Oryctolagus cuniculus: one gene and its partner. The main gene of each other region encodes a partner of the protein of the gene in region 2 in a complex. Links are inferred from orthologs where the notes say so. Each region holds a gene or a part of one and is shown on either strand. Other genes may lie near its edges.

Region 1 (9,579 bases), about 87 Mb from region 2:
ACACATGCTCCCCACATTTCCCTCCAGTCCAGACCTCCCCATCAAGCCCGCCCTCAGAATCGCTGTCTACCTTCTCAACACCACTGCCTGAATATCTACTTAGCACGTCAAGCTAGAGCAGCTGGAATTCCGAGCCAAGAACCTGCAGCCCCAAGTGCTCTCCTCCTTTACCTCGATGTTTCCAATGGTTCTGTACCTCACTGTGGAGGAGTTGAAAAGCTATGATCCGAACCAGCTCCGACCTCAGCCTGCCTCCAACACCAGGCAGTGTTGTTATTTGTCAAACCAGATGGATATGTGAGGTGTTACCAATCTCCTCTTACCACAAAGAGAGTTACAATGAACAGCTTTGTGCATTCTACTTGCTATTTATGCCAGCCTATCTCTAGGCATCTTACTTCTTTTCTCATCTTACTATAATACTCTTATGTTCGAGATACTGGGACCCCATGGGATAAACTAGAGATAAGCTCTATGCAAGGAAATAGCCACTCCAGGGCACCTCAGAGACCAGCTATTCCAACGGCACATCACAGAATCCTTACCATTTCTCTCACAAGACCCGACACTTCTTGGAGAAAAAGAGAAAAGTTACTTTGCCAAGGATAACACCACAAAGAATAAACAAGTACAGTTTTATTTTCCATGTGCATTTGCAAAACACTTAGGACCAACATAAAAAAGGAAAAATCTTGTGGGGAAAAATTACATTAAAAATGGAGAGCTCAGAGAAGCTAGCTACAGCAACTCTGATTGGTCCAAGGAATCGAAAAAACTTCAGCTGAAAATAATAGGAAGGAGAATTGGAGTTTATTGAGGAAGAGGGCCCCGAAGTGGGCCTCGAGGGGGAACTGGAGGCCGGGGAGTGGGTCTGGGTGGAGGAAGGGGGCCCCGCTGGTAGCCATAGGGCGGGGGCCGTGGAGGACCAGTGTACCCATGAGGCGGCATCAGTGGAGGGGGTCCTCGCATACCATGTGGAGGCATAGGGCCTGGGTGACCTGCAAAAAGGGAAACAGAAATTAGTAGCAGTGAGTTACAGGAGACAGTTGATGTTGGAAGACCTGTGGGAAGAGGAAAAAGTGACTTAAAGAAACGTGAGAAAGAAAAGAACAGGCATGGGAAAGCTGACAAAGAAAGCTGTGAGAATGATACATATGCAGACAGGAGGAGGCTACAGCCCACTCACCCATGGGAGATCCAAACGGAGGTCCTCTGGGGGGCATGCCCATTGGAGGAGGTCCAGGATGAGGCATTCCAGGAGGTGGGCGTGGTGGTGGCTGTCCCCCAGAGCCTGGGGGCCCAGCATGGGGGTGTCCTAAGCCATGAGGGCCATGGTGGGCCAGCTGCATCTGAGACATCCCTGTGAAAATAAGAGACAAGGGGAAAATCAGGAAGAGAACAAAGATGGAGAAGAGAGCAACATGAGAAAGAAAATGACATCAGGAAGAGAAGGGGCTAGAAAATCCAAGGTGCTCCTGTCCCTGCTCCCACCCCAACAGGACAAACCACCGCACGTCATGGTTCCTCAATGACCCAGGCACTGGAATAGTAATGCACAAGTGTGTAACCACTGGAGGGATTACTCCACTGACAGGACAGGCTGCCCCAACAGCCACCTAAAGGACAGAATGTTTCAGGAGGATGAGAACATGGAAACAAACTGTCCAAGGCAGAAAGGTGAGCATTTGAGAATCACAGGCGTGTCAAAGAGCACAGACGTCTCGTCTCGGCAAATACCAGTAACTCAGCAATAATCTGGAGCAGTGGCTATGGGGGTGATGGCAGGACCAGATCAGGAAACGCCCTGAAAGCCACGGTACTGAGTGTGTGGGGAAGCTTTACTCTGCAGGTAGAAGGGCACAACAGAATTTTGAGAAAGGGTATCTGAATACCTGGCGGAAAAACATCTGGGAAAATAGATTCAGGACAACACTGTAATCAAAGTGGCAAGAGATCAGCACAGTTAAGTGTGAAATAACAAGGGACTAAGAGCTTGCACTAGGGCACTGGCAGGGGAGGCAGATACCACAAGTCTAAGAGTTCGTATGACAAGTGAGGCGAGGGCGCAGTGCTGTGGCACAGCAGGTTAAGTGCTGTCTACAATGCTGGCATCCTTATGGGCGCCAGTTTGAGACCCAGATGAAGCTTCTGGCTCCTGGCTTTGGCCTGGCACAGCCCAGGACGTTGCAGCCATTTGGGGAGTAAACCAGCAGATGAAGATTGATTTCTCTGTAGTTCTGCCTTTCAAATAAATAAAATTAATATTTAAAAGCAGGAAGTGAGGTGACAGGGAATAATCAAACACAGCCCTAGACTCATGAATTATGCACCTGAAAAATACGGAAGACTTATAGAATAGGTTTGAAGGGGGAGGGCCCCGCACTGTGGCACAGCAAGTCAAGCAGCTGCTGGTAACTCCAGCATCCCACATGGAGCAAAGGCTCAAGTTCTGACTGCTCCACTTCAGATCCCTGCTAGTGAGCCCGGGAAAGCTGCAGACGATGGTCCAAGTACTTGGGTCCTTGCTCACCCACATGGGAGACACAAATGGAGTTCCTGGCTCCTGGTTTTGGCCTGATCCAGCCCTGGCCATTGCAGCCATTTGAACTAGTAGATGGAAGCTCTCTTTCTCTGTCTCATCTTCTTTGTAACTCTGCCTTTCAAATAAATAATTACATAAAGAAATTTTTTTTGAACGGAAGAGACAGAGTGCCCAGTCGCTGAAACTGGGGGAGAGCGAGGTTACAAGGTTGAAAAGAGAGAATTACACCTGGGCAGGCCAGGAGGGCGGCTCAGTAGAGAGGCAAAGGTGAGCGCACAATCCATTTGGACTCCCTAGGTTTTTTTTGTTTTTTTTTTTCTTTTTTTTCTTTTTATTCACAGAGAGAAAAGAGGCAGAGAAAGAGAAAGGTCTTCCATCTGATGGTTCACTCCTCAATAGGCTGCAATGGCCAGAGCTGTGCCGATCCGAAGCCAGGAGCCAGGAGCCTCCTCCGGGTCTCCCACGCGGGTACAAGAGCCCAAGGACTTGGGCCATCTTCCACTGCTTTCCCAGGCCATAGCAGAGAGCTGTATTGGAAGAGGAGCAGCCGGGACTAGAACCAGCACCTATATGGGATGCCGGAGCTTCAGGCCAGGGTGTTAACCTGCTGTGCCACAGCGCTGGCCCCTACACGTATTTTTTTAAAAAGAGAAAGGTCTGAAGGGGAGAGGTACAAAAGTGGATCTGTCCACTGAGCAACAGGATTATGGATTTAGATTGTTAATAATCATGAACTAGAGATACAGACTAGGAGACATCAGTGTATACTTAATCTAGACCCAGAGAAAAATCAGTTTATCAAATTGACTGAAACTGAGGTGTCAGGTGGAGAATCCAAAAAACAGATGAAAAAAACAGACAAGAATTTCAAACAGGAGTACACAGCTAGTTTCAAATACAGCAGAGGGCAAACCATCTAAGAAGTCGAAGTATCCCCTAGACCACTGCTCTGGGGTTGAGTCAGAGAGAAGGGAAACAACAGGGAACAAACAAACAGCAAGTATAGGCTACTCTGCAGAAAGACTTACACAACAGGACAGGTGGTAAGTAGTAAACTAAAGAGAGCATTTTGTTCGTTCACGCACATCCCTCCCTTTCCCAGCCAAGAACACCTACCTGGATGGGGCATGCCACCTGGTGGGAAGGGGTGAGGATGTGAGTGTCCATGACCAGGATGTCCAGCCCCCGGGGTGCCTGCTGATGGAGGGCCATGTCCTCCAGCCCCAGGAGGCATTGGTGGGGGGGGCATGGCTGGAGGTATTCCAGGTGGGAGGGCTCCAGGAGGCGGCACTGGGGGTGGGAAAGAGCCAGGAGGAGGCATGCCTATATAGAAATCAGAAGAAGGATTAATGGCGGTGGGCAAAGAATGCCTTTAAAGAACCTGTCCCAGTTTGACCTGTCTATGCAGGGTGAGTTCTTGCCCCCTCCTCCCAGTGCTCTAAGGTCACAAGCCATGTTGCACTACTCAAATAATCCTACCTCCCTGGAGAAGCCCGACAGAGTTCTTCACACCCCTCCCACCCACCACCTCCTAACTCCCTTCTCATCACCCACTGACTCAGGAGATCTTCCCTTTCCAGGTTCTTTGTTCTCCTCACTGCAGCCCCAAGACAAACGTATTTGCGAACCAAAAGCTTTACCTGGTGGAGGAAGCCCAGACCCCAGTGATGATACCACAGGGTTGGGAGCAGAGGGTGGAGGGGGTGCATCTGCAAACAGCTGATGTGGGCGATCAGCCTGGGAGAGTGGGTTCTGGGCTGCCAGAAGTCGTTCAGCTGCGGAGCCATGGCGCTCACCCTTGGAGTCCTTCTTGAAGGCATAAGACACGGTGATGGGGCGGTTACAGAGGTACTGCCCATTCATGGCCTCAATTGCTGCATCCGAGGCATCAAATGAAGCAAAATTAATAAAGGCATAACCTTTGGAGTTGCCTGTGTCAGGGTCCCGCATGATCTTGGGGGTTTGTAAGATGACCCCAAAGGCGCTAAAAGTATCGTAAAGCAGCTTCTCGTCAATCTCCGGGTCCAGGTTCCCGATGAAAATGTTGGCCCCGACATCCAGGTTTTTGTTGTGAGCTGATGCCTTGTTCACTCGTATTGGCTTCCCATAGAGTTTGATCATGTTCATGATCTTAATGGCATAGTCAGCATCTTCTTCACTCAAGAATTCCACAAAGCCATAGCCTAAGCAGGCAGAGAGGAGATTAGCAACTAGAGCGAAGATACCCGAAACTGGGTAAAACTCACCCACCCTCCAATCACAAAGAACAAGAAAATGATTTTAGAAACAAACTGTGAACTGAGGATTAAGAGAAAGCAATCTGGGGCCGGTGCTGAGGCACAGTGGGTTGGGCATCTGCCTGCAGCACCAGCATCCCATATGGGCGCCAGCTCAAGTCCCAGCTACCCTACTTCTGATCCAGCTCCCTGCTGATGGCCTGGGAAAGCAGGAGAAGATGGCCCAAGTCTCTGGGTCTCTGCACCAGGGTGGGAGACCTGAAGAAGCTCCTGGCTTCAGACTGGCCCAGCTCCGGCCAGTGCGGCCATTTGGGGAGTGAATCAGTGGATGGAAGGCCTCTCTCTGTCTCTCCCTCTCTCTGTCTGTAACTCTGCCTCCCAAGTAAATAGATAAATCTTTAAAAAAGAGAAAAGAAGAGGAAGCAATCTTCTGGTCGCTCATTCTGAAACAAGTATAAATACCGCTGGGACCCTCAGGAGCAGCTGTCAGATACATAAAGTGGCCTCTTGGCGCGGACTCACCTTGGTGCTGGCCAGTGACTCTGTCCTTCGGCATGTGAGTGTTGACCACCGGTCCTGCCTGCAGGAAGAGCTCCCACAGCAGAGGTTCGCTAACCTTCTCGTCCAGGCCCCCCACGTACACAGTAGCATCTGGAGGGAGGATGCAGGAATTTAGGATGGGGACGAATATGACAGGAAAGGAGCTGACCGGGACATAAAGATGGAACCCAGTTAGAGGAACTGCAGGCGGGGATGTGGGACAGAAGCGAAAAGGGGGAGGTGGAAAGCATCCAAATAAGCCCTAAATCGTCCTCTTCGCAGGACCTAGAGCCCCTTCTGAAGTTCACTTTAGTGTCTGCTGCAAATTCCGTCCCACTCAGAAAAGGCAGCAGGGGGACTGCACGAAACATCACACGTCCAGGCCTCAGCCTGCACCCGGCCAACCCGCCCGCACCAGCCACGGAAGCGAGTCTCGCGCCCTCCGGGGGACGGGGGTCCAGTTTCCCGCCTTGGAGACGCTACTGGCCTTAGCTGGGGCTTCCCACCCTCCCGGGCCCATTCCGGACTCGTCTCCCCGCCCAGTCACCCTGGTTCCGCTCGGAGATCGGCCCGGCAGCCATGGCGAAAAGAATCCCGCCGCCTCCAAGCAGCGGCTCCGCCCTCTGGCCGCGGTCACTACTTCCACTTCCGGGGCGAAGACTTACGTGACGCTGGGCGGGGCCCGGACGGGGGCGGGGCCGGAAGCGGCTGCGGCCATCTTAGGATCCCGCGGGACTTGACGGTGCTGTGGCGTCCCGGTTCAGAGGCGTTTGGATTTGCGCCGAGGTTCCGGGGCGAGCGGTCGTAGCGAGGAGGGCGGGGCAGGAAAGCGCAGGCCCTCTGAAAGCAGTGCCAGACGTCTCCCACCGGTGCGGGCGTTTGGCACAGCGGTTAAGCCACAGCATCCTCAGTCAAGAATTACAGGGTCCGAGCCCCGGTTTCCCCCGACTCGAGCTTCCTGTAAATGCACACCTTGGGAGGCAGCAGAAACCCCAAGTTTGGTCCCTGCCACCCATGTCGGAGACCTGGATTGTTCCCCGCTCCCGGTCTGCGTCTGGCATGGCCCCGACTGTTAGAGGCATTTGGGGGAGTGAACCAGCGGATGGAAGTTGTCTGTTCCTCTCTTTCAAGCTAAAAATAGTAACTCTTCGTGTATTTTGTAGCCAGCTGATCCTTTTGTCACCCAAAGGAAAAGGTTCTCAGGGACCCCTCAACCTAAGGACTCTGCTCCACAAGCGTCTTAGTTTTGGCCTCATGCCTCTGGCTGGCTCGAGGTAATGTCTGAGCCGGAGTGTGAGCAGAATCTGAGGCTCCCCGGATGGAGTGTGACCAAAGCTGCAACTCCAAGAGCACTTTCTGGCCCCAGCAACGTCATAATATGCTCTTGGCTGTCTGCCTCTAAATGGGAGATGAGAATTCTGAGCCTCACGTGGTCCAAATCCATTCCTTTCTTAGAAATCATACGATGGGGACCTTTTCTCAAGTCTTTGCTATCTAGGATCCTTCATTCAAATCCAAGAATCAGTGCCAGCAATGTGTATAAATATTGTGCTTTAATGAACTTAAATAGAAATGCCACTACAAAAATGTACAGTTGGAAGAGAGGGTGTGTTTCATATCCACTTTGTTTCCAAAAGAAACTATACAGGAAGAAACAGAAATTGGAATTAAAATAGGCAGCAAGAAGGGGCAAGAATGAGGTCTTTAGGCCATACTGTTGGAACTGGTGAACAGCGTCTCTGGTGTCACAACTTAAATAGCTGGCTATCTATAAAGCAATTACATTGTGGATTGTTTTGTTTCTTAATTCTTCAACTCCCAGGAAACAACAGCTTCAGGAACCAAATAAAAGGACAAGAATTAAAGATTAGCACCACCGTCCACAACAAACTCAATTCTAAGTGAGTTTGCTTAAGAGCTGGAGTGTGAAAGCTGAGGCAACAAGGCCATATACAAAACACTGCAGTATTAGGACTCTCCCTCAACCCAGATCCCCCGCTGCTCTTTGAGAATGCCAGCAATTTCAGCAGGAATGAGAGAGAATGGTACTTGGATCTCTTTTCTTGGAGTGATCACCAGGAAACGCTCTTGGTGTCCACTTCCTTAATAGTTCCTGAAGATGGGATAGTTCATCCTGGAGGCCAGAGACTGTGAGAGCTGAGAGGCCCATCTGGGAAGGGTGCCAATAGGGACAGAGAGAAACGTCATTGCAGCTCTAGACCCCTGCTTCTAAGATCTGCCCGCTACTTGTGGTGCCTAATTGTCTTTCCCCTCCCAACTCTGCCCTAAATTCCATTTAATGTAAGCTTCTAGCAGTTTCCTCTAACGGTACTTCATTTCCCAGCCCGCCCAGCCCCTTGCCTTCCCAGCTCTGTTCATCTGGTTCAGCTGTCAAGCCCCTTCCCCCACTCCCAGTCCCTGTCTTCTTTACTCACCTGGACCTCGGGCCGTCCCCTCAGGTAGCAGCGTCTCCAGAGCCTGATCTGAGGTCCCAGATACCCAGGCAGCAGCAGCCCTGGAGGTAAAGGGCAAGCTCCCCAGTGTAAAGGGAGCCCCCACTCTTGGTCAGCCAGGCTTTCAGAGGAGACAGCCATCCGGGGTAGCCAACGAGAAGAGACCGCCAGCAGAGAGGGACTCTCCCGCCACGGACAGAGCTGGTGTAGAGGGGTCAGGGCCCCTTTAGAGAACAGCCACACAGAACTGGGAGGGCCAGGAACCAGGAAGCTTGGCTAAATGGGAAAGGGAAATCAACTGGCAACTGAGAAACCAGACAAGCTCAGTGTCCCCAGTCTGTTAGGAAGGGCATGGGACTCCTATCTACACTTGCACTGGCAACCAGAACCCCAGGCCTGCGCTCAGAACTGTCCTCATCAGGCTGCAACTAGGGCTCGGGACCGATGAAAGTTGATTTTAGGGCAACTTGTAAAATGTATGTGTGAAACAGGAAGACTGAGAAACAGGAATGAGAAAGACAAAAGTATAAGCCTCTATTCTGTCCTAGGACTTGTGTCTTCCTGGGGAAAGTCAGAGACTGACAGCTGCAGAAGAGAAGTGGGGAGGCTTCCCGGGAGGAACTCAGACATTATGTCTCTCTGCATCTAGTAGCATAAGCCTGTGGAGAAAGTCAAGGGAGTTGAAGAAGTCAGATGCCTCACCTGCTGTCTCGGAAGCCAGGCATCTGGGCCGTGTTCTGGGTTATAGCCAGGATTATGGAATTGTAGTATCTGTTCATTACTGTAGCGTAAATCCCAGTCCCAGACAGACAGCTGCAGGTTAATGGAATTCCCAGCTGGGGGGTGGGAGTACCCTGGGGTATAGACTTGTGTGTAGGAACTGAACTGGACCGAGGAAGCAGGAAAAAGGATGGTTACATAGAGTAATATAATCCTCCTCCTGAATCTAGACATTATGAAACTCTCCCCTCTTACTCCAGGAATCAGATGGAGGGCAAAACCTAGTCCTGAGAGCAAGCGTGACCTCCCCTCCCCACCCATGGACCGCACTTCTCATAAAACAGATCAAGACTGAACTTCACACAGCTCTTCTCAATGAGAACAAATGACCAGTCAAAAATATAGAGGTCGCTGACCTGTCCACTCTGCTTTCCACGCTCCCAGGGAGTATTCCTCAGAAAAGTAAGGGTGTCAGGAACCCTGACACTGTCATGAAGAGCAAGAAGGAAAAACTCAGAGAATTCAAACTCAGCTGGAAACTGCTGGAGGAGCTGCCAGACACAGTCTAGGAACAGGAGGAACACCGGCGCCTGGGAAGGGAAGGCAAGAGGTTGGAAGGGTGGCAGAGACCCAAGGAGGGAGGATGACAAATGATGGGCCTGGGGGACACAGGACATGAGGGGCATTATGAAGGTGAAGGGATGACAATATGAACTGAGGGCGTAGGGTGTTGGGAGCTTCACTCATCCCGGTTCCTCAAGCTTAGTTAACCTCAGGACCATCGTGAGCAGGTGCACTTTCTGTGGACTGCACTATGTAATTTTTCTTATCCCCTTACTTCTTTGGTAATACTCCCCTGCAACACCCGAAACACTCCCAAATGATTCTTACCTCCTCACTGGCCCCTGTTCCCCCAAGCCGGGTCAGGAAAGGGTGTCCAGCGGCCACCCACTCTCGCTGCACTAGTGATTGGAAGCCACACAGTGTTCGGGCTTCAGGGGCTGAGAGCAGCTGGACGAGTGAAGAGAGGAGGCCATTGAGATCACGATCACCGCGCTCTGGGTGACAAAGAGGAAGAAGGGATGGG
Region 2 (9,916 bases):
AGAGAGGTCTTCCATCCGCTGGTTCACTCCCCAATTGGCTGCAAGGGCTGGAGCTGCGCTGATCCGAAGCTAGGAACCAGGAGCTTTCTTGGGTCCTCTCACATGGGTGTAGGGGCCCAAGGGCTTGGGCCATCTTCTACTGCTTTCACAGGCCATAGCAGAGAGCTGGATTGGAAGTGGAGCATCTGGGACTCAAACCAGCGCCCAAATGGGATGCCAATAACTGCAGGCGGCGGCTTTACCCGCTACGCCACAGCGCCGGCCCCAGATGGAGTCTTGTTGTGTGCTGAGGAAGTCGCACCTGGGACACATGGGAGCTAAATCATACACTAAACCCTCATGTCCACTTTAGGGGCCTAGCATGTGCTGAGCCGTGGGGTCCAGCATTTGGGGAGGTTCCCATTTGCAGTGTGTGGGGGGTCCTGCTGCATGTGCATGGATGCCACCCTGTGCGAGCAGTGGGAGCAGTGGGCATCTCCTGGGGGAGGCACGGGGGCGGGTGGCCCTCAGGAGCATGGGGCTCAGCCTCTGAGCAGGACTGCTGTTCCCCACAGGGTCCCGGAAGCTGGAGTACGGAGGCCAGACGTGGCATGAACACTGCTTCCTGTGCAGCGGCTGTGAGCAGCCGCTGGGCTCCCGCTCCTTCGTGCCCGACAAGGGTGCTCACTACTGCGTGCCCTGCTATGAGAACAAGTTTGCTCCTCGCTGTGCCCGCTGCAGCAAGGTGGGGGCTGGGCCAGGGAGTGGGGCTGGGCAACACTGGTCGTGGGGTGGGCAGGCCACTCAGCCTCACCCTGCCCATGGCCACTGCCCCCTCCAGACGCTGACCCAGGGTGGAGTGACGTACCGCGACCAGCCCTGGCATCGCGAGTGCCTGGTGTGCACCGGGTGCCAGACGCCCCTGGCAGGGCAGCAGTTCACCTCCCGGGATGATGACCCCTACTGTGTGGCCTGTTTTGGAGAACTCTTTGCACCTAAGTGCAGCAGCTGCAAGCGCCCCATCACAGGTGGGACAGGAGCCAGAGGGCGGGGTGGGTGTGGTGCTGGGGGAGGCTGAGGGGCAGGACTGACACCGGCATCCCTGCAGGACTCGGTGGGGGCAAGTATGTGTCCTTCGAGGACCGCCACTGGCACCACAGCTGCTTCTCCTGCGCCCGGTGCTCCACGTCCCTGGTGGGCCAGGGCTTCGTGCCGGATGGAGACCAAGTGCTGTGTCAGGGCTGCAGCCAGGCAGGGCCCTGAGCCTTCAGAACCAGGGCTCCAGGACTACGGCCCCTCTTCGCAACCCCCTCTGGGACCCAGCCCTTCCCCCAAATGGGGCTCCCCCTGCCCCCAGCGACCTCTAACTGGTACTCCCCAATCCAGACCTGGACTCCAGGACCCAGCCCTCTCCTCCATAGTCGGGGTTCTCAGAGCAAGCCCACTCCCCACATCAGGCCTGTAGACCCCAGCCCTTCAAACCTGAACTCTGGGGACCTAGAGCCCCCTTAAATCTGGACTACTCTCCAGAGATTTTAGGTGTCTTGCAGGAGCCTGGGAAGTCCTCCAAATGGACTGTACTCAGGCTTGAGCCCTGGCCCATCCCACCCCGGTCCCCTGGGCTGCGGGGAGGGGGCTGTCTGGGCTGCACCTGGGGAGGCTCCCCCAGTTAAGGGGCTCTGGGGTACAGGTGCTGCCCAGGCTGTGTCTGTCGAGTGTCTTCTCGTTTTATTTCAGCTGCATTTTGCCCAGAGATGGGCAGAGGGAGTGGGATTAGCCCGGCCCTCTTCCAGATTCTGCAATAAAGCAGTGTGAGGAAGCCAGGCGTCTGTGTGTTTGCCTGGGACCCTTTGCGGCTCTTCTAGACTTTCCGTGTCCCCGGGCAGAGGCCCAGGGCTACGAGTGCCACAGGGTAGGAGTCTGCCCCCCGGAACGGGATCCCTGCCGAAGCTACCGTTCCGGCAAGCTCGCCCTGCCTCCCCTCCTGCTGGCCGAAGGCTGCTTCTCTCCCGTGGGGAAGGGCGGCGACGGGGAGGTTCCAGGCAGGAGCGGGGCTGGCGGCGGGGCGCCCTCCCCCGGTACAAGCCGGCCTCTCTCCTAACTGCCCTGCCCAAATCCCGCGGAGCCTGCACTCGGTCCTGAGCCCCAGTCTGGGCCCAGACCCTCAACCCCCTTCCCCTTCTTCCCGAAGATTAGCGGGGGCGGCCCGGGATCTGCTCGCGGCCGCACGTTTTTTTGCCAAAAAAGGCAAGGATGCAGCTGCACGCGCCGCGGGAACATCTGGATCCGATTCCCAGCATGAATGGGTCACGGCCCCGCCCACCATGATTCAGGGGCGGGGGCGGGCGCGAGCCAGGGGGGTTGGCCCCCAAAGTGGGGAGAGGGGGCGGAGCACCCAGGACTGCGCTGCGCCCGCCCCGCCCCGCCCGCGGCTGCGGTGTGGACGCCGCCGCCGCCGCCGGACGGTCCGGGCAGGTACGCGTGCACCGCGTCGCGCCCGAGCCGCCCCGGGTGGGCCGCGCCGTGGGGCGGGCGGGGCCCGCCGGCCCGGCGGAAACCGCGTGATTATATGTATCTCGCAGTGAGTCCTGCCCGAGATCCTCTGGGCGGGCGTTGCTTCTCGGACACAGCCAGTTCCAGCCCCCGTAGGGAGTCTCTTCTCAGCCTCTCGACGCCGCCTCCCAGGCCCAGTGCTGGCCTAAACTTTCTTTTTTACATTATGTATGTGTAAATTTGAAAGAGAGAAACACACAGAGAGCTTCCATCTGGTTCATTCCCCAAAAGCTGATCGTAGCAGAAAGTGGGCCAAGCCCAAGCCAGACCCCTGGATGTCCTACGTGGGTGACAGAGACCTGAGTACTCTGGCCATCACCTGCAGGAAGCTGGAATTGGACGCAGAGCCGGCACTTGAACCCAGGCGCTGGGGTATGGGATATGGGCCTCTTAACTCCTGCCCAACCCCCTACCCCAAGTCCTAAACTTCCTGAGGCCACGGTTGACATTTTCCGCAAACATTTGCAGAATGTCCATCGTGTGTGTGCTGCCAACAAATCATCATGTTTGCATTTATTTTCTCTCTCCCACCAGCCCCTCTGAGGATCGAGCCTGCCTTGCTCACCCGGTCTGGGCTCCTGGCACTTACTGCATGTTCAAAAATATTTGTTGAGGAAGAGCAGTCCAAGCGTAGAAGCCAGCTGGTACAAAGGCCTGAGGGTCTGAAAACATACGTTGCTTTGGGGAAGCAGCAAGTTATTTCGTTTGGAGGAAGTGCCAAGAGAGGAAAATGGCAGGCAGGGCTCAGGTCCTGAGAACCCAATGCCAAGTTAAACAGACCTCGCCCTCAGGGCCCATATGCAAGCAGGGGTGTGAGACCGGAGTGTAGGAAAGAGCGCTCCGGCTGCAGCATGAATAATGGGTTGGAGGCACTAGACAGTTAGGAGGCAGGGCTAGTGGTCCCAGTGAGAGATTCCCAGGCAGGCAACAGCCGGGTGGAAGGCACAGCACTGGGGCCGGAGCAGTGTTTAGCGGAAGGAAGGCAGAGTGTTGGGGAAAAAAGTGAAGCTACAGCCCTCTGTTTCATTTCATTCCATAGAAACATGTTTCAGATTCAGCATCTAAGAAATCCAGATGTATAATCAAGGTGTATCATAATCTGACAATTTTTCTTGCCTAGTTAAAGCCTCAAATAATGGCTAATTTTACATTTGATGGCATCTCCTACTCACTGAAATACAGTAACTCCAAACCATTAGGGCCCTAAGTAAATAAATAAATAGTTGGAGTCCATTACTGAGTAGAATTTACCCCCTCCCTCCTCTCCCGTGGCCCAGGAAAAGCCCCGATCCCATGCTGTGACCAGGCTACCTTCCCCCAGGAGTGCAAGTCTCACTTAAATTCCCACACACAGTATGACCCTCACAAACCTCCCCCCCCGAGCTGGCAAAACAAGGTCATTATTTCCATATTATTATTTTACAAACTTTTAAAAAGCAGCACATATTTATTGTAGAAAAATGGGACAAGTCCAAACAACTAAAAAAAAAAGTTGTATTATATCCTCCTCTTTCTGTTAAATATGCATATATATATTTTCATTTTTAGGGTTTTTTTTTTAGATATTTATTTATTTGAAAGAGTTACAGAGAAAGGAGAGACAGAGAAAGATCTTCCATCTGCTGCTTCACTCCCCAATGGCCGCAAGGAAGCCGAGAGCCAGGAACTCCATCTGGGTCTCCCACATGAGTGCAGGGGCCCAAAAACTGGGGCCATCTTCCACTCCATTTGCCGGGAGCTGGATCGGAAGTGGAAGCTGGGACTGGAACCATTGTTGCAGGGGGCAGCTCAACCCGCTGCGGCAAATTGCTGGCCTCTATATTTTTTTAATATTTTATTTATTTATTTGAAAGTCAGAGTTATACAAAGAGAGGAGAGGCAGAGAGAAAGAAAGAGGTCTTCCATCCACTGGTTCACTCCCCAGTTGGCCGCAGTGGCTGGAGTTGTGCTGATCCAAAGCTAGGAGCCTGGAGCTTCTTCCAGGTCTCCCACTGGATGCAGGGGCCCAAGCACTTGGACCATCTTCTGCTTTCCCAGGCCATAGCATAGAGCTGGATGGGAAGAGGAGCAGCCGGGACAAGAACTGGCACCCAGATGGGATGCCGGCACTTGCAGGCAGAGGCTAAGCCCACTACGCCACAGCGCCGGGCCCCCCTACATTTGTTTTTAAATTGAAAAATTAATAGACGGATTTTAAAAAAAAAAAGATTTCTGGGACAGGTGTTTGGATCAGTGGTTAGGCCACCTCTGGGCGCCGGCATCCCACATGAGGGTACCTGGGTGTGGGTCCAGCTCCACTCTGCATTCCAGCTTCTTGCTAATGCCCACCCTGAGCAGCAACAGCGCTGGCTCAAGTACTTGGGTTCCTGCCACCCACAAAGGAGACCCGGCTTGAATTCTGGGTCCTGGCTTCAACCTGGCCCAAGCCTGCTTGTTGCAGGCATTTAGGGAGTGAGCCAGAGGCTGGGAGAGCTCTCTCTCTCTTTATTTCTCTGCCTTTCAAAAAAAAAATAACTTATGTATATGTACATATATAAAAGTTCCATGCTGTACTTTGGATATATACAACGAAAAAATTTTCCTCCCACCCCCGCTCTCGCAGGCCGCCTCCTCGGGAGCCACGCTGTTGCCTGCAGCTTGGCCACCCTGACAGCAATGAGCCCTTTGCATGGCTATTTTTGTGCTCACTGTTTGTGCCACCAGCTTTTCTCACTTTGACCATCTTTCCATACGAGTTCACACAGATTTTTTAACAGCTTTATTGAAGTACAATTTACATGCCATAAAATTCACTCATTTCAAGTGTCCAATTCAATTAATTCTAGCAAATTGAATAGCTATGCAACTGTCACAACCACCCAGTTCTAGAAGAATTGCTTTGCCCCAAAAAGGATTCCTCGTGGTCATTCTCAGTCCTTTCCAATCTCGCCTCCGGTCACCAGCAACCACTCATCTGCTCTCTGGCTCCATAGATGTGTCCTTGCCACCTTCCATCTGGACACAGACTCTGTCCTTTTTTCCTGTCTGCTCCTATTTTAAAAAAATATTTTAGAAGATGGCCCAAGTGCTTGGGCCCCTGCACCCCCATGGGAGAACAGGAAGAGGCTCCTGGCTCCTGGCTTCAGATCAGTGTAGCTCCGGCCGTAGCGGCCATTTAGGGGGTAAACCAACAGAAGGAAGACCTTTCTCACTGTCTGTAGCTCTACATGTCAAATAAATAAATAAAATCTTTAAAAAATATTTTAAAACATATTTGAAGCACAGAGAGACAGCACCGCCATCCACTGGTGCATCCCTCACGTGCCTGCAATGCCTGGGGAGGGTCAGACTGAACTGGGAGCCAGGAACTCTCTCTGAGTCTCAAACGTGGGGCGCAGAGACCTGAGTACTTGTGCTGCATCCCAGGCTGTGCGGCAGGAAGCTGGATCGGGAGCAGAGCAGGGCTCCGACCCAGGCATCATCACATGGGACATGGCCGTGCTTAGCCGACAGCCATGCTGCGTGCTCGCCCCCTCTGACTTCTGTCTCTTAGTGTGACACACTCATGGTTCATCATGCTAGTGTTCCTTTATTGCTGAGTACTATTGCTCTCTGTAGAGATTCCCCATTTTGCTTACCCACTCACCACTTAATGGACTAAGATCACATCCAACGTTTGGCAATTATGAATAAATGCTGCTATGAACATCAGTACCTATGTTTTCATTTCTCCAACTGTAAGTGGACATATAGATATTTCATTTTTTAAAGATTCATTTATTTATTTGAAAGGCAGAGTTACAGAGAGAGAGAGAGAGAGAGAGAGAGACAGGTCTTCCATCAGCTGGTTCACTCCCCAAATGGCCCCAACGGCCACAGCTGGGCTGATCTAAAGCCAGGATCCAGGAGCTTCTTCCGAGTGTCCCAACTGGGTGCAGGGGCCCAAAGCCTTGGGCCATCCTTTGCTTTCCCAAGTGCATTATCAGGGATCTGGATCGGGATTGGAAAAGCCAAGACTCAAACCAGTGCCCTTATGGGATGCCAACACCACGGGCGGTGCCTTTACCCCAATATGTTTCATTTTTAAGGCTGTATAGGTGCCGGCACTGTGGCATAGTGAGTTAAGCTGGCCTGCAGTGCCAGCATCCCACATGGGCGCAGTCCTGGCTGCTGCACTTCCGATTCAGCTCCCTTATGATTCAACCGGGAAAGCAGTGGAAGATGGCCCAAGCCCTTGGGCCCCTGCCACCCACATGGGAGACCTAGAGGAAGCTCCTGGCTCCTAGCTTTGGCCTGGCCCAGCCTGGCCATTGTGGCCATTTGGGGAGTGAACCAGCAAATGGAAGATCTCTCTGTCTCTCTGTAACTCTGCCTTTCAAATAAATTTTTTTAAAAAGCATTTAAAGGCCGGCACCGCGGCACACTAGGCTAATCCTCCGCCTTGCGGCGCCGGCACACCGGGTTCTAGTCCCGGTCGCGGCGCCGGATTCTGTCCCAGTTGCCCCTCTTCCAGGCCAGCTCTCTGCTGTGGCCCCGGAAGGCAGTGGAGGATGGCCCAAGTGCTTGGGCCCTGCACCCCATGGGAGACCAGGAGAAGCACCTGGCTCCTGGCTTCGGATCAGCGCAGTGCGCTGGCCGCAGCGCGCCGGCCGCGGCGGCCATTGGAGGGTGAACCAACGGCAAAGGAAGACCTTTCTCTCTGTCACTCTCTCTCTCTCACTGTCCACTCTGCCTGTCAAAAAAAAAAAAAGCATTTAAATACATATACATATATAATATAGCATTTCGTTACTTGGATGGAGCATACACAGATAATCTGTACATATGAATTCCTTTAAAAAACAAAACATTTTTTCCATTTTACTGTCAGAGGCACTGAGGTCCAGAGAAAGGTCAGATGTCACAGTGAACTCTAGAGACTCCCATCTCCCATGAACCCTTTACTCCTCAGTCTCGCGGCAGTACCTGCCCAGCGAGCCCCAGCAAGCCCCAGGAAGCCAGTCGCTTAACCGCAGGTGCCTGGGTTCACGCCATGGCGCCACTGTACCTCCGAACAGCAGGGGGCGCTGTTGCCATAGCGACACCACAGACGGGCTCTCTCCCTGTGGTGCTCACTTTTTTTCGACTCCCGGGACGCTTCCGGCACTCCCGGAATTTTGGTGCAGCCGGATGCACAGCGTGGGGACGCAGGCGCGCAAGGCGGCAGGAGTCGCTTCCGGCCGTGTCGGTGGTCTCAGTGGAGGTGCTGCGGCGGAGGGAAGATGGAGACGATTCTGGAGCAGCAGCGGCGGTACCATGAAGAGAAGGAACGGCTCATGGACGTCATGGCCAAGGAGATGCTCACCAAGAAGTCCACGGTGAGTGGGACCTGGACAGCGGCTGACGTCGAGGCCGGGCCGCTACCTCCGCGAGCGTCCTCGGGCGCGCAGACCCTGCCCGCGCTCCGCCCCTGCCTCCTCCCCGGGCCCCGCGCGCCCGAGGCCTGGGCTTCAGCCGCCGAGACCCGAGCGGGTGAGCTCCGCCCTCGGGCGGCCTTTCCAGCTCCGAGCTCAGACTGACGGCGCCTGTGCCCCGCTTTGCCTTTCCTCAGCTCCGGGACCAGATCAATTCCGACCACCGCACCCGGGCCATGCAGGATGTGAGTGCCCTGTGTCCTCTTCGGGGCGCGGTGGGCGGGACGGGAGGAGCCCGACGGGGTGCGGGATCTGCACGGGTGTGGGGTCGGCTGCGTTCCTGCGTCTACGTGGGGGGACTTTGACTACCCGGAGAGACGCCGCTTACAGCGCCCGGTGCCTCTTGGATGGCCGAAGACTAGTTGTAGATGAGCCCGTGACCCGGGCCCTTACCGCGGAGGGCTGTGCAGCAGCAGGTAACTCCGGGACGCTGTGGGGGAGTGTTTTTGACCACTAAACTATTTGTCCAGCAGTAGCCCAGTTGCTTACTACAAACAAAAGGAAGCGAGTCGAAAATAGTGTTGAAAATTGCTAAAGCCACATGAGGCGTAAATGGAAGCTTTACTTATTTTTATTAATATAAGGTTTATTGTATTTGAAAGGCAGAGTTACAGAGAGAGAGAGGTCTTTTCATCTGCTGGTTCATTTCTCTCAAATGGCCGCAGCGGCTGGGGCTGGACCAGGCCGAAGCCAGGAGCTTGGAGCCTCTGGGTCTCCCTCTTGGGTGCAGGGGCCCAAGCACTTGGGCCATCTTCTGCTGCTTTCCCAGGACATAGCAGGGAGCTGAATGGGAAGTGGAGCAGTCAGGACTCAAACAACCAGATGGAACATCCATCTCTCTCTCCCTCGCTTTCTGTAACTCTGCCTTTCAAACAAATCCATCTGCTGATTCCCTCACCCAGATGGCCACGAGGCAGCCAGGGCAAAGCCAGGAGCCAGGAGCCAGGAGCTTCATCAGGGCCTCCCACGTGGGTGGCAGGGGCCCAGGCACTCGGGCCATCTTCCGGTTCTTTCCCAGGTGTATCAGCAGGCAGCTGGAGGCGAAGCGGAGCAGCCAGGACTCCCAGCCGGCGTGCTCATGGGGGATGCTGGTCACTGTCACAGGAGGCAGTTTCACCAGCTGCCCCGCAACACGGGCCAAGTGGAGACTTTTTAACCTCTGCCCTCTATCCTTGCATGTATTTGAAATCTATTTGGAATGAAAGTCCAAATCAGAGTTTGCCATTTGTAGGGGGTAATTAGATTAAAAGCCCCCAGCCCATTAACTAAACTCTAATCAAAATACAATGAAACCCGAAGGATTTATTTTTCCCCGAAACAAACTGAACTTCTACTTTAGTCCTATTTTCCGTAAGGTTTTTCAATTTCCTTGCTTAACAGTTCCACAGTGACCCCTATGAGATACCTACAAAGCAGTATACATACAGGCCATAAGAGCAGGTCAGATTTTGCCAACAACATACTATACGGTGCCTTTCTGAAGTTAAAAATTCCATATTCTGAAAGAAATCTGGTCCCAGAGTTTAGGAGAAGGGCTGTGGGCCCATCCGTGCCATCCTGAGTCAGTATACCTTTAACTCCAAGGGAAGGTCTGTAATGTCTCGTTTAGCTTGTGTGCTCCTCACCGAAGCTTTTTTGAATACTGAAAATCGTCTTGGCCCACCCCTCAGTGACAGAAGGTACTAGAAAGCTCACGCACTTCTAAGGGCCTCTTTCCTGAGGCTTCCCAGTGCTGTGACTGCAGAGCCGTCGTTGGTTGCCAAGCACTCTGATGGACTGTGTTTGCCTTTCAGAGGTACATGGAGGTCAGTGGGAACCTGAGAGATCTGTATGACGACAAGGATGGGTGAGTGACGGTTGCACCCAGTCCGGGAGTTAGAGCGTCTGAGGAGCCATGGTTCAAAGACTGACTTTGTGCTCTGTGCTCTTTGGATTTTTCTTGAAACTGCAGG

Evidence for each region.
Region 1: SF3A3 (region 2) and SF3B4 share a complex: the UniProt entries of both Homo sapiens proteins name them as parts of the 17S U2 SnRNP complex. The link is inferred for Oryctolagus cuniculus from reciprocal best matches to the Homo sapiens genes SF3A3 and SF3B4.

The regions. Positions count from the first base shown.
Region 1 is NC_091438.1:48,023,617-48,033,195, reverse strand, and holds SF3B4 (splicing factor 3B subunit 4), read right to left. Parts: upstream 5,990-9,579; 5' UTR 5,901-5,989; coding exon 5,867-5,900; intron 5,431-5,866; coding exon 5,302-5,430; intron 4,726-5,301; coding exon 4,183-4,725; intron 3,866-4,182; coding exon 3,659-3,865; intron 1,361-3,658; coding exon 1,187-1,360; intron 999-1,186; coding exon 811-998; 3' UTR 619-810; downstream 1-618. UniProt on the Homo sapiens protein: Component of the 17S U2 SnRNP complex of the spliceosome, a large ribonucleoprotein complex that removes introns from transcribed pre-mRNAs.
Region 2 is NC_091438.1:134,809,261-134,819,176, forward strand, and holds the start of SF3A3 (splicing factor 3A subunit 3), read left to right. Parts: upstream 1-4,082; 5' UTR 4,083-7,772; coding exon 7,773-7,868; intron 7,869-8,101; coding exon 8,102-8,149; intron 8,150-9,757; coding exon 9,758-9,810; intron 9,811-9,915; coding exon 9,916-9,916. Other genes in the region: FHL3 (four and a half LIM domains protein 3), read left to right, coding at 555-724, 821-1,007, 1,088-1,242. UniProt on the Homo sapiens protein: Component of the 17S U2 SnRNP complex of the spliceosome, a large ribonucleoprotein complex that removes introns from transcribed pre-mRNAs.